Saccharomyces cerevisiae S288C: one gene and its partner. The protein of the gene in region 1 interacts with the protein of each later gene in a biochemical or structural test. Each region holds a gene or a part of one and is shown on either strand. Other genes may lie near its edges.

Region 1 (4,744 bases):
CACAAAGAGAGGCAAAAAGCTAACGAGGTTTCAAAAATGGTGCTTGTTGGTGATGTTACCAATAAATCATGTTTATTAGTTGATGATATGGCGGATACTTGTGGTACGTTGGTAAAAGCTTGTGATACGTTGATGGAGCATGGTGCCAAAGAAGTTATAGCTATTGTTACACACGGTATTTTCTCCGGTTCAGCAAGAGAAAAGCTAAGAAATAGTAGATTGTCTAGAATTGTTTGCACAAATACCGTTCCGGTAGATTTGGATTTACCTATTGCTGACCAGATCGATATTAGTCCCACGTTCGCTGAAGCTATAAGAAGACTACACAATGGTGAATCCGTGTCATATTTGTTCACCCATGCTCCAGTATAGGACAATTTTTTATTCTTAGATTCCTGATTGCTTGCATGCCTAAATACTTCATAATTGTATTAGTTTAAAAGAAAACCTTTTACTGAGACAAAACTATAAATTTAAGAAAAAGGTTCCGGAGCCGGTTTAAAAAAAGAAGATTAAAGATATTATATTTATGTAAGAATTAAATTAATACTGTCAGAGAAAAAATAGTTTTAAAGGAGACGGTGAACCTTTACCTTCCTTGATATGCAAATATTTTTCAGCTTTTCCTAAAACTAAACATTCTCGACTTTTTTTTAGAAGACTTTATGGGTGTGTTAGAAACAAAGCTGTCGTCTATAGCAGTATCCAAATCGTCTGCTATAGGCAGCTCTTCCTTTTTCTTTTGACCACTATTGCAAGTTCTTAGCCAATCATCGTACTTGATTAGATTGTCTATATTATCATCTTGTTCTTTTGCCATATTTTCACGATCATTCTTTTCAACAGCGTTTGAATACATCGCTTTATAAAACAAAACATATGCTGTTGCCATATTTGGAGATTCACCTGTGAATTCTAACACTGTTTCCTCTTTAACTGCCTCTACCGTTTCGTCATCAAATAACAACCAGCCAAACTTTTCATGTTTACATAGGGAAACATAATGGCCGTGTTGTGGCCCACCGCCCATATGAACGACAATCCCAGCCAATTCATACTTTTGACAAACCTTAGAATTTATTGAAGAGCAAACATTTAGCGTCAGAGGATAGTGAATGTTATTAAAAAGCTTAATATTACAGTTTTGTTTCTCAGAATACTTGAATCTTTTCAAGTGTAATGTTAAAGTATCAGGCAATTGCTTCAAACCAACTAATCTCTCTGCCTCCTGTAAACCGCAACATTCGTCACAATAAAACTTGTTTGAGCCATTTAGCATTTCTCGCTGGTGATAACTTTTCAAAATTTCCTGTATATCTGTTTCCTCATCTCCCTGAACTTCTATGGGGAAATCCAAAAATGGCTCATCCCTAGATGTAATGTTATCGCACGTCAGACATTTTATTTGATTCGTTAAAGTGCCTTGAAACAAGTCACTGATGAAATTTTTACTCTTACTCGGTTCGCTATCGCTGTTGATATCACTGGCTGCTATTTTTTTATTCTCACGTTCTATATATTCACTCAACTCGTTTAATAAGAAATTGAAAAATTCGTGAGCATCCTGATGCATAGTAGTATTAAATAATACATTTTCTCTTTTGAGAACATCAACAAAAGAGCTAGGCGATACAACACCAGTTAAATACGTATTCTCAGTTATGCATTCAAAGATATCTCTCAAACTGGAATACAAAGTAGCCTTATCTGAGCCGTTTAAGCTATGGTCAATATTGAGCACTGGCCCACGAATAAGTGCGGATTTCTTTCTATGTTCTGGGGATATTTGAGAAGAGGAACTAGATCTTCTAGTATCTTTTTTATCAAGTGGAGTGGATAAGCTGCTATTACTTTCTCCTTTCAAGTCCAGGTTATTACTATTACTGCTACCTCTTGAAGGATTTTCATAATTGAGAACTCTGCCAACAATTATTTTACGCGGAACATCCGGAGGTCTATCTGTGACGTTCTCGAAACTCAATCTGCTCGGAGCACCAGGCTCATTAGGTGTTTCGACTATCAATGGAGGTGCGTCTTGAGGACGAGAAGAGGGTTTTCCAGTGGTTAATATAGCAGGACTTCCTTCCTTTTTATTATTGTCTTGTACATGTTTCGCGCTAAAACTTTTAAAAAATTTACTCTTCTTCTCTGAAGGCCCAGCTGTATTTGAATTTACAGAATTTACAGGGGTAGGCTTTCCATCATCAACAGATTGAGGTTTAGGGTTAGGCAAATGTCCATTGGTACCAGCAATGCTTTTCTCAAAACTTGCTTCGGTAAATATTCTTGGTTTCTTACCTCTCATTTCTTTCTTTCTTGGTTGATCAGATTCTCTTGATTTTTTTGGAAATTGCAATATATTTTCACGTAATGAGGACAGATTATAGAGACATTGAAGAACTGAGTTACAGTAACATGTATTGCCAAAATTTTCGTATCCAAAAACTTTGTTGGAGCCGTCTCCATAGGGCATTGAGTCGGACACCTTCATAGCTAATATGGGTGCCTCGGGCCCTTGCGTGATAATGCCTCCGTATGCGTTTATAGCCTTTGCGTTTGAAATATAAAATATCCCATCCTGGCTGTAATTACTGCCTTGATTGCACGTTTCAGAAGAATAGTCTAGTCCGGAAGAAATCTGCAAATTATTGTCTTCATTCAAAAAAGTTTCCTTGGTATCCAAATTAGAGACAAACAATGAGCTAGAGGGATTATCGGATGATTCGCTATAACAGAGTTCATCATTTATATCGTGGTTTACAGGCTTAAAGTCAACCTTTTCTACTTCTTCTGTAATGGTATCATTAACAGCCTTTTTCTTCTTCCCAGACTTACTTATAGTTAGCCATCTTCTGATCATGATTGCGCCCTTCTTGCGTGGGTTTAGTATGTTAATGAAAGTACTGGATCCTTACTAAAGCCGAATTTGGCCCCTTCAACAAATAAAGCTTGATGAGTTGAACAGTCAAAGGGTAAGATCTGGTATAGGCAATAATAATATTATCCAAATGGAAAAAAAAAAAATGAACAGGTGAAAAAAAATCAATTTGAAAACCAAAGAAAAACTCTATTGATTCCTTTGCTGTTGTCGACCTTCTTTCACACAATAGTTCAATTACGTTCTTTGGGTTCTTTATCTTTATAGTTATCTTGCCTCATCTCTATGTTCAACACTTTCGGATCGATGTATTTTTCAGCCTTCCGCTAAAATTGACGACCGTCTCCAAACGAATAGGGATAAAGAAGCAAGGACTGAGCGTTGGAGAAAAAAAAAAAGTTACCGGAATGGGAATAGATAGATACCTATAAGAAGCGTTATCGTTACTCATGAATTTTGGTAAATGCACACGGATAAATGCATGATATATAAAATATTAATAAGAATAAAATAAATAGGTAGTGAATAAATATTCTACTTTGGTGTGGTCATCATTTTACAAAGGAGGGAGGTCGTGATAACAAACTGATAAATAATCCTTAAGTTGATCCATTCTTGAATATTGTTACATTGGAAATAATCCGAAAAAGAATATGTATAAATAAAAGGACTCGAAGTCCTATGTAGCCGTCTTTGCAAATTTTCTTTAATAAATTAGCAGAAAACAAGGGTAATAATATTTCTTAGAATATTAGAAGAATATAGGCGTTAAAAACCTTGTTCCATGTTCATATCGAACCAACCAAAAAAGTCATCATTACTGGAGTTGCCTTCAATCCAGCCTGCACTTTGTTGCTGAAAAAAATCCGTTAGTTTGTTTCCAGGAGTCTTCACGTTGTTTTCATTATCGATGGTTTGGAAGTTAGAAGAAGTTACAGTGTTAGTGCCCGTAGAAAATCGTTGGTTCGTTTTGTTGCTATTGATATCATTACTTTTGGAAAACAAGCTCAGAGGTGGATATGCCGTGCTTTTAGAGGAGCCGGGGTCGGAAACGACGGAATGCAAATCTGTCATATTATTTGACTTCGAAGCAATCGGTGTACGTGAATGGGACATACTACTTTGTGATCTTCCAATCGCGTTGGCGTTGCTGAATTGATTATTATAATTCATGGTGACATTTTGTAAATTACTGTGCTCCCTTGGAATAGGGTGGTCTATTCCCAATGTAACATTATTAGATAAGTTGCCAACGGGGTGGTTCCTTAACCCTGGAACGGACGCAGGAAAATGATTAACGGGAGTGCTTACTGATCTTTTCATGGAGAGATCAGGAATTACACTAGGTCCGTTACTATAATAGTCTACCTTAGTACTTTGTGGATTGTTATTCGAAGCGGGGACAGAAGCCACTGGATAAATTGAATTAGAGGGAATTGATATGTCATTAGACGCATCCAATAACGTCCTATTATTATTATAATCGTTACTATTCGAGGTATTAGCGAATAAACTTTGAAATTTTACGCTGCCTGTTTCCCCGAGCATGGAAAGAGGTATCCCGTTAATCTCCATTATAGAACCGTCAGAATCTCCGTTATTTGTCTTGGCTAGCTTTTCTGCCTGCTTTAAGGCATTCTTAGTAGGAACTAAAGTGGTAACAGTGGTTCCACTTGGTGTTGTTTTTGTTACAGTTTCAAAGTCATCTCTGGAGATATGGTTATATAGTGGCAATGGATATAGTTTTCTGTCCGTTATGCCACCCGTAGACGAAGTGCCATTGTAGATACCATTTGAGGAAAATTTTCTTTTCTTAGCGGCTTTCTCTAAGGCTTGCTTGTTATATTCGGGATCCATTTCCCTTCT
Region 2 (5,468 bases), on another chromosome or scaffold:
ACGCTGACTTGTCTGGTTACACCCACGACGGTTCTTTCCAACAATACGCTACCGCTGACGCTGTTCAAGCCGCTCACATTCCTCAAGGTACCGACTTGGCCCAAGTCGCCCCCATCTTGTGTGCTGGTATCACCGTCTACAAGGCTTTGAAGTCTGCTAACTTGATGGCCGGTCACTGGGTTGCTATCTCCGGTGCTGCTGGTGGTCTAGGTTCTTTGGCTGTTCAATACGCCAAGGCTATGGGTTACAGAGTCTTGGGTATTGACGGTGGTGAAGGTAAGGAAGAATTATTCAGATCCATCGGTGGTGAAGTCTTCATTGACTTCACTAAGGAAAAGGACATTGTCGGTGCTGTTCTAAAGGCCACTGACGGTGGTGCTCACGGTGTCATCAACGTTTCCGTTTCCGAAGCCGCTATTGAAGCTTCTACCAGATACGTTAGAGCTAACGGTACCACCGTTTTGGTCGGTATGCCAGCTGGTGCCAAGTGTTGTTCTGATGTCTTCAACCAAGTCGTCAAGTCCATCTCTATTGTTGGTTCTTACGTCGGTAACAGAGCTGACACCAGAGAAGCTTTGGACTTCTTCGCCAGAGGTTTGGTCAAGTCTCCAATCAAGGTTGTCGGCTTGTCTACCTTGCCAGAAATTTACGAAAAGATGGAAAAGGGTCAAATCGTTGGTAGATACGTTGTTGACACTTCTAAATAAGCGAATTTCTTATGATTTATGATTTTTATTATTAAATAAGTTATAAAAAAAATAAGTGTATACAAATTTTAAAGTGACTCTTAGGTTTTAAAACGAAAATTCTTATTCTTGAGTAACTCTTTCCTGTAGGTCAGGTTGCTTTCTCAGGTATAGCATGAGGTCGCTCTTATTGACCACACCTCTACCGGCATGCCGAGCAAATGCCTGCAAATCGCTCCCCATTTCACCCAATTGTAGATATGCTAACTCCAGCAATGAGTTGATGAATCTCGGTGTGTATTTTATGTCCTCAGAGGACAACACCTGTTGTAATCGTTCTTCCACACGGATCCACAGCCTAGCCTTCAGTTGGGCTCTATCTTCATCGTCATTCATTGCATCTACTAGCCCCTTACCTGAGCTTCAAGACGTTATATCGCTTTTATGTATCATGATCTTATCTTGAGATATGAATACATAAATATATTTACTCAAGTGTATACGTGCATGCTTTTTTTACGGCAGCATTTTTTTTTCAACTCTGATCGCCCCTTTACTGCTCCCTCCGCCCAAATTCCATTGCAGTTCAAATGTATACTGAAAAAAACCCCATTGCTATTGTTAAACAGTGAACTCTCTTTTTGCCCAATAATAACATTATAACAAGTAACTACCAGCACCATAACACCGTGTCCTATCCTGGTATTAATTACTACTTGAAGAACGACTACATCGCTTTTTGCAACTACAATTAGAACGCTCCGCCCCTTCCTTTTGACGTCGTATAAGTGTAGTTGGATTGCAATTGCATAGATACAGGAATTAGTTCAAGCCATTCCTAACGAGGAAACGATACATTCTAGCAAATCTACGCTTTTCTGACTTTAGAAGAGCAAGCCAATAAAAAGCCGGAGAAAATAGAAAGGTAATAATGAATCAGTTGACAGTGAGTTATGGCCTAATTTCCCCAGATTACTGCACTTCCCAAGATGCGCACATCTTACCGATAACAAAGATTCTGTACCCGGATATACCTGGTAAAAACTATTTTCTTACTTCAGGAAGGGATGGTTCCATAATTTTGCACAAGAACACACAGCTCTCGAACGAGCCTGAGACTGCTGCAACTACCATAAAAAACGATGCGATAAGAATGCAAGTTCATAGCGATTGGGCAAGCGATCTAATACATGTTAATATGAAAAATTCAGACCCATCTGCAGGGGACACATTCATATCAGTAAGTCACGATTTTTCGATAGTATTAATTAGTGTGAATGCGCAGTTAACTACCTGGGATAAGAAAATAATCGGTGACCACGACGATTATATCAAGTGCATAGTGCCCATACATTATGAAATGTCAAATGACTATGAATTGGAAGAACAAGAGGGTGGTCCTGATAATGTACACGATGGAATAAATAATGGCATTGTTGTTGATGAACAGAACAACTTTCTTTTTGTGACAGGTGGTCTAGATAGAAAAATCAAACTTTGGTGCCTGAGCAGCGGGCCAGAAAAAATGGCTACGCTACTACACACATTTGATAATGCACAATCAAACGACACAGGCTCAATATACTCCATGAGTCCCATCATCCCAAAATACAGTTTTGATGACAATCAAACGTCTCGTCCCTTTGATTTTGTTGCCGGAGACTGTAATGGTGATTTGATTTTTTATTCGTGTAAATATCGTAAGGAGGTGATAAGAATTCAAAACGCCCACAGAACAAATATAAAAGTAGTAAGAACTCTTGATGACTCCACACGACTAATCAGTACCAGCTCAGATGGTGTAATAAATGTATGGGACTTGAATTGTAGGCATGATCAGACTACTGGTGCCCTTCAGCTTCCCAAAAAAATTGGATCTTGGTCCTGGGATTCTTCCATATGGTGTGTCCAAGGAACGAGCCTTGATAAGTTGTATTTTGGTGACTCTCAGGGCAATGTTATGAGAGCAAACTTATCCAGTTATGAAGATGCTAAACTTACAAGAATTTTCAAGCCTGATCATCACCACCATCATCATCATCACCATGAACACGAAGAGCAAAATATATCAACTACAGATGCGAAAGTAAAAAAATATGGTGGTATCCTTGATATTGCCCTTTTACCTAATGAAAAATTGTTGTTTTCTTTTTGTACTGACTCAAATCTAAACGTGCTCGATTTAACTAATAACCATTTCAGTGTCAACGAAGGTGGGTTCGCACTGACCAGAAGCTCACTGCTAACCAACAGGAGGCATGTAATAACGGAAAACACTAAAGGCCAAATGCAGAGATGGGATATCGTTTCATGTGAGCTTTTGAATACTTTTGATTCATCAGAAGGTTCATTTGATGATATTGTAATGAAATACACCTCAAAGGAAATTCTATCTCATTGGTGTACTGTTTCCGTTAAGGTCGGTATGCTGTTCGTAAAAATAAACCCAAAATTTCTGAAAACTGAAGTTTATGGATCCGCGCTAAAGGATTATCAGGTTGTGAACAATATTGAAATTAACTCAGATGAGAGATATAATTTGGGTAAAATTGTTATTAATTCGCTTTTCAATGAGTTCATATCATATGAAGTCCAAAAGGATAAACTTTTAAGGAAGAAAATTTTTAGTTTGAAGAAAAAAGACTTAACCAATTCATTAACCTTGGATACGGGATATAACAGTGAATCAAAAAAGAATAATAAAGATAAAAAGAGAAAATCAACCTTCAAAATTAGTTCAACTCTGTCCATTGGAAATACCAACAGCAGTGGAACTCCACCAAATTCGGCACCTGCAACCCCGGTAATGGCAGAGACTATAGTATTAGAAGAACAACCATTGTTGCAGTCAGCTTCTGATAAAGCAATAGATGACTCTTTAGAACTCGTGCAACCATTGCCTGCATCCAAAAAGCCATATTTTAGAACGCAGAGCTCTGGCTCCTTGTTAAGTAGAAAGTTCAAATCATTTAGGTCTACTTCTGGTCGTGCCACAACAGGGTTAAACACTCCAGAGGAGCCCAAAGGAATTCTGCCAGATACTCCGCACGTTATTAATGATGACTCGGCCTTCCCTCAAGCTATCAATACAACTCAGCAGTCTAAGGATGCAACTCCAGAATCTATGTTATGGAATCATCCTTTCAAGCTAGAGCAAAAACTATCCGCTATTTCATCACAAGATTTACCGAGTAACAACACTCATAACAAACTAAGATCATCTGAAAACTCAAGGGCGAATTCCACGTCAACCTTGGAAGGCAACGAAAAGAAGAAGCCTGAGTTCATGCCCGATTTACTGGAGCAAATTCAAGAGTCTTACAAGCAACAATATATGAATACTTCTTCTCTAAAATACCTGACGAAGAGGCTTCCAGTCACCAAGATAATCAAGGCTAGTTCATGTCCAATTATTAGAGTAAAATCTGCCACGTTAGTTTTGGTCCATCTTTGGAAGGAAGGCTCATGTGGTGGCAGGGTATTATTTTCCACCCTATTACCGCCATCTCATGTCGATAATGAAACCGTCAGCGGCGGCAAAGAAAATTCCAAACCGCCAGATGATGAAGAAGTAGACCTTCAAGCTGTAGATGATGACAAATTAGGAAAATATGATCTTATTGATGGCGAGTTAGGAAGCAGACTCAACAGAAGGCAAATTTTTGAGCAATTGGAGGAAAATTTGCCCTACTGGTTTGCAAAAGCTTTATTTAGAGATATTAAGACGGTGGAAGAGCAACCAAAGTTGAACTTCTTAATCATGCCATGGTCTTCTGTTGGTGGGAGTGAGGCAGCTGGCAATGAAAACAAGAAGAAGTTTATTAGTGCATCAGATACCACAGAATCTTCTGGCAACGATAGTAGCGATAGCAGCCTTGGAAATGGTAATGAAGCCGTTTCCCCATCAACACAGCAACAGTTCCATAATATGCTAAAGTTTGGCCGTCCGAAGACCAGCGAGCAGGAGTTAAACCCCACAGATTTACCGAGAATCTCTGAGGCGAATGTCAAGCTGGTTGCGCCTGGAATGATTAGGGTGAAAAAAATTAAACTTTACGTCGCTGACAGATTTGAAACGAAAACTCCTGAAATGAAAGCAAAAATGGAACCTAGTCTTTGGTTGGATCTACTATGTAGGGGCCAAGTGCTTGATAACGATATGACTTTAAATACCGTTAGAACACTTTACTGGAAATCTCAGGGTGACATAGTTCTAGAATACAGAAGAAAAGTACATAATTCACCGCTAGTTCATGAGGTCAACGGGAATGAGGGGAAATGATAATGTTTATTTAAATTATATTTTGGGGTCTGAATTTGGAGTTTTTAAGCGTAAATATATAGTAACAATACCAACAATAATACTAATAATACTATAATAGTAGTTGCAGTAACAATGACAAGATAAAGAATATTCTTCTGAAATGTCTAAAGAACGAAGAAAAAAGCAAGTACTCATTGGAATGCTATGTGTAACAACTCATACATACTCTAGAGCTTTATAATAATTACATAGACATTTTTATAATATTATTTATTTATCAAATTTTATATTGAATAGGTACCATCAAGTTATGCACACATTCTTCATTAAAATACAGTCTGTAAATAATTGTGAATATGGGCGACCTGAATGATGTTCTTATTATCTCAAATATTTCTAATTTTTTTTAATCATTTTTGTTTCTTTAAGAGCAATTAATTTACAGAGCGGGGAACAGTGGCCAATTTTTTGAGCTAAAGAACAGCATAACAACAAAACAACAGAAAAAAAACACAGCG

The links. Proteins that work in one complex are often made in the same cells at the same time.
Region 2: the proteins of UBP13 (region 1) and DUF1 form a complex in vitro, tested with the Saccharomyces cerevisiae proteins (one study listed by BioGRID).

The regions. Positions count from the first base shown.
Region 1 is NC_001134.8:93,023-97,766, forward strand, and holds UBP13 (ubiquitin-specific protease UBP13), read right to left. Parts: upstream 2,861-4,744; coding exon 617-2,860; downstream 1-616. Other genes in the region: ribose phosphate diphosphokinase subunit PRS4, read left to right, coding at 1-372; SEF1 (Sef1p), read right to left, coding at 3,647-4,744.
Region 2 is NC_001147.6:154,787-160,254, reverse strand, and holds DUF1 (Duf1p), read left to right. Parts: upstream 1-1,617; coding exon 1,618-4,968; downstream 4,969-5,468. Other genes in the region: alcohol dehydrogenase ADH1, read left to right, coding at 1-707; MHF1 (Mhf1p), read right to left, coding at 810-1,082. UniProt on the Saccharomyces cerevisiae protein: Ubiquitin-binding protein involved in the resistance to phenanthroline, sanguinarine, nordihydroguaiaretic acid (NDGA), isopropyl (N-3-chloro-phenyl)-carbamate (IPCPC) and guanosine 5'-O-(2-thiodiphosphate).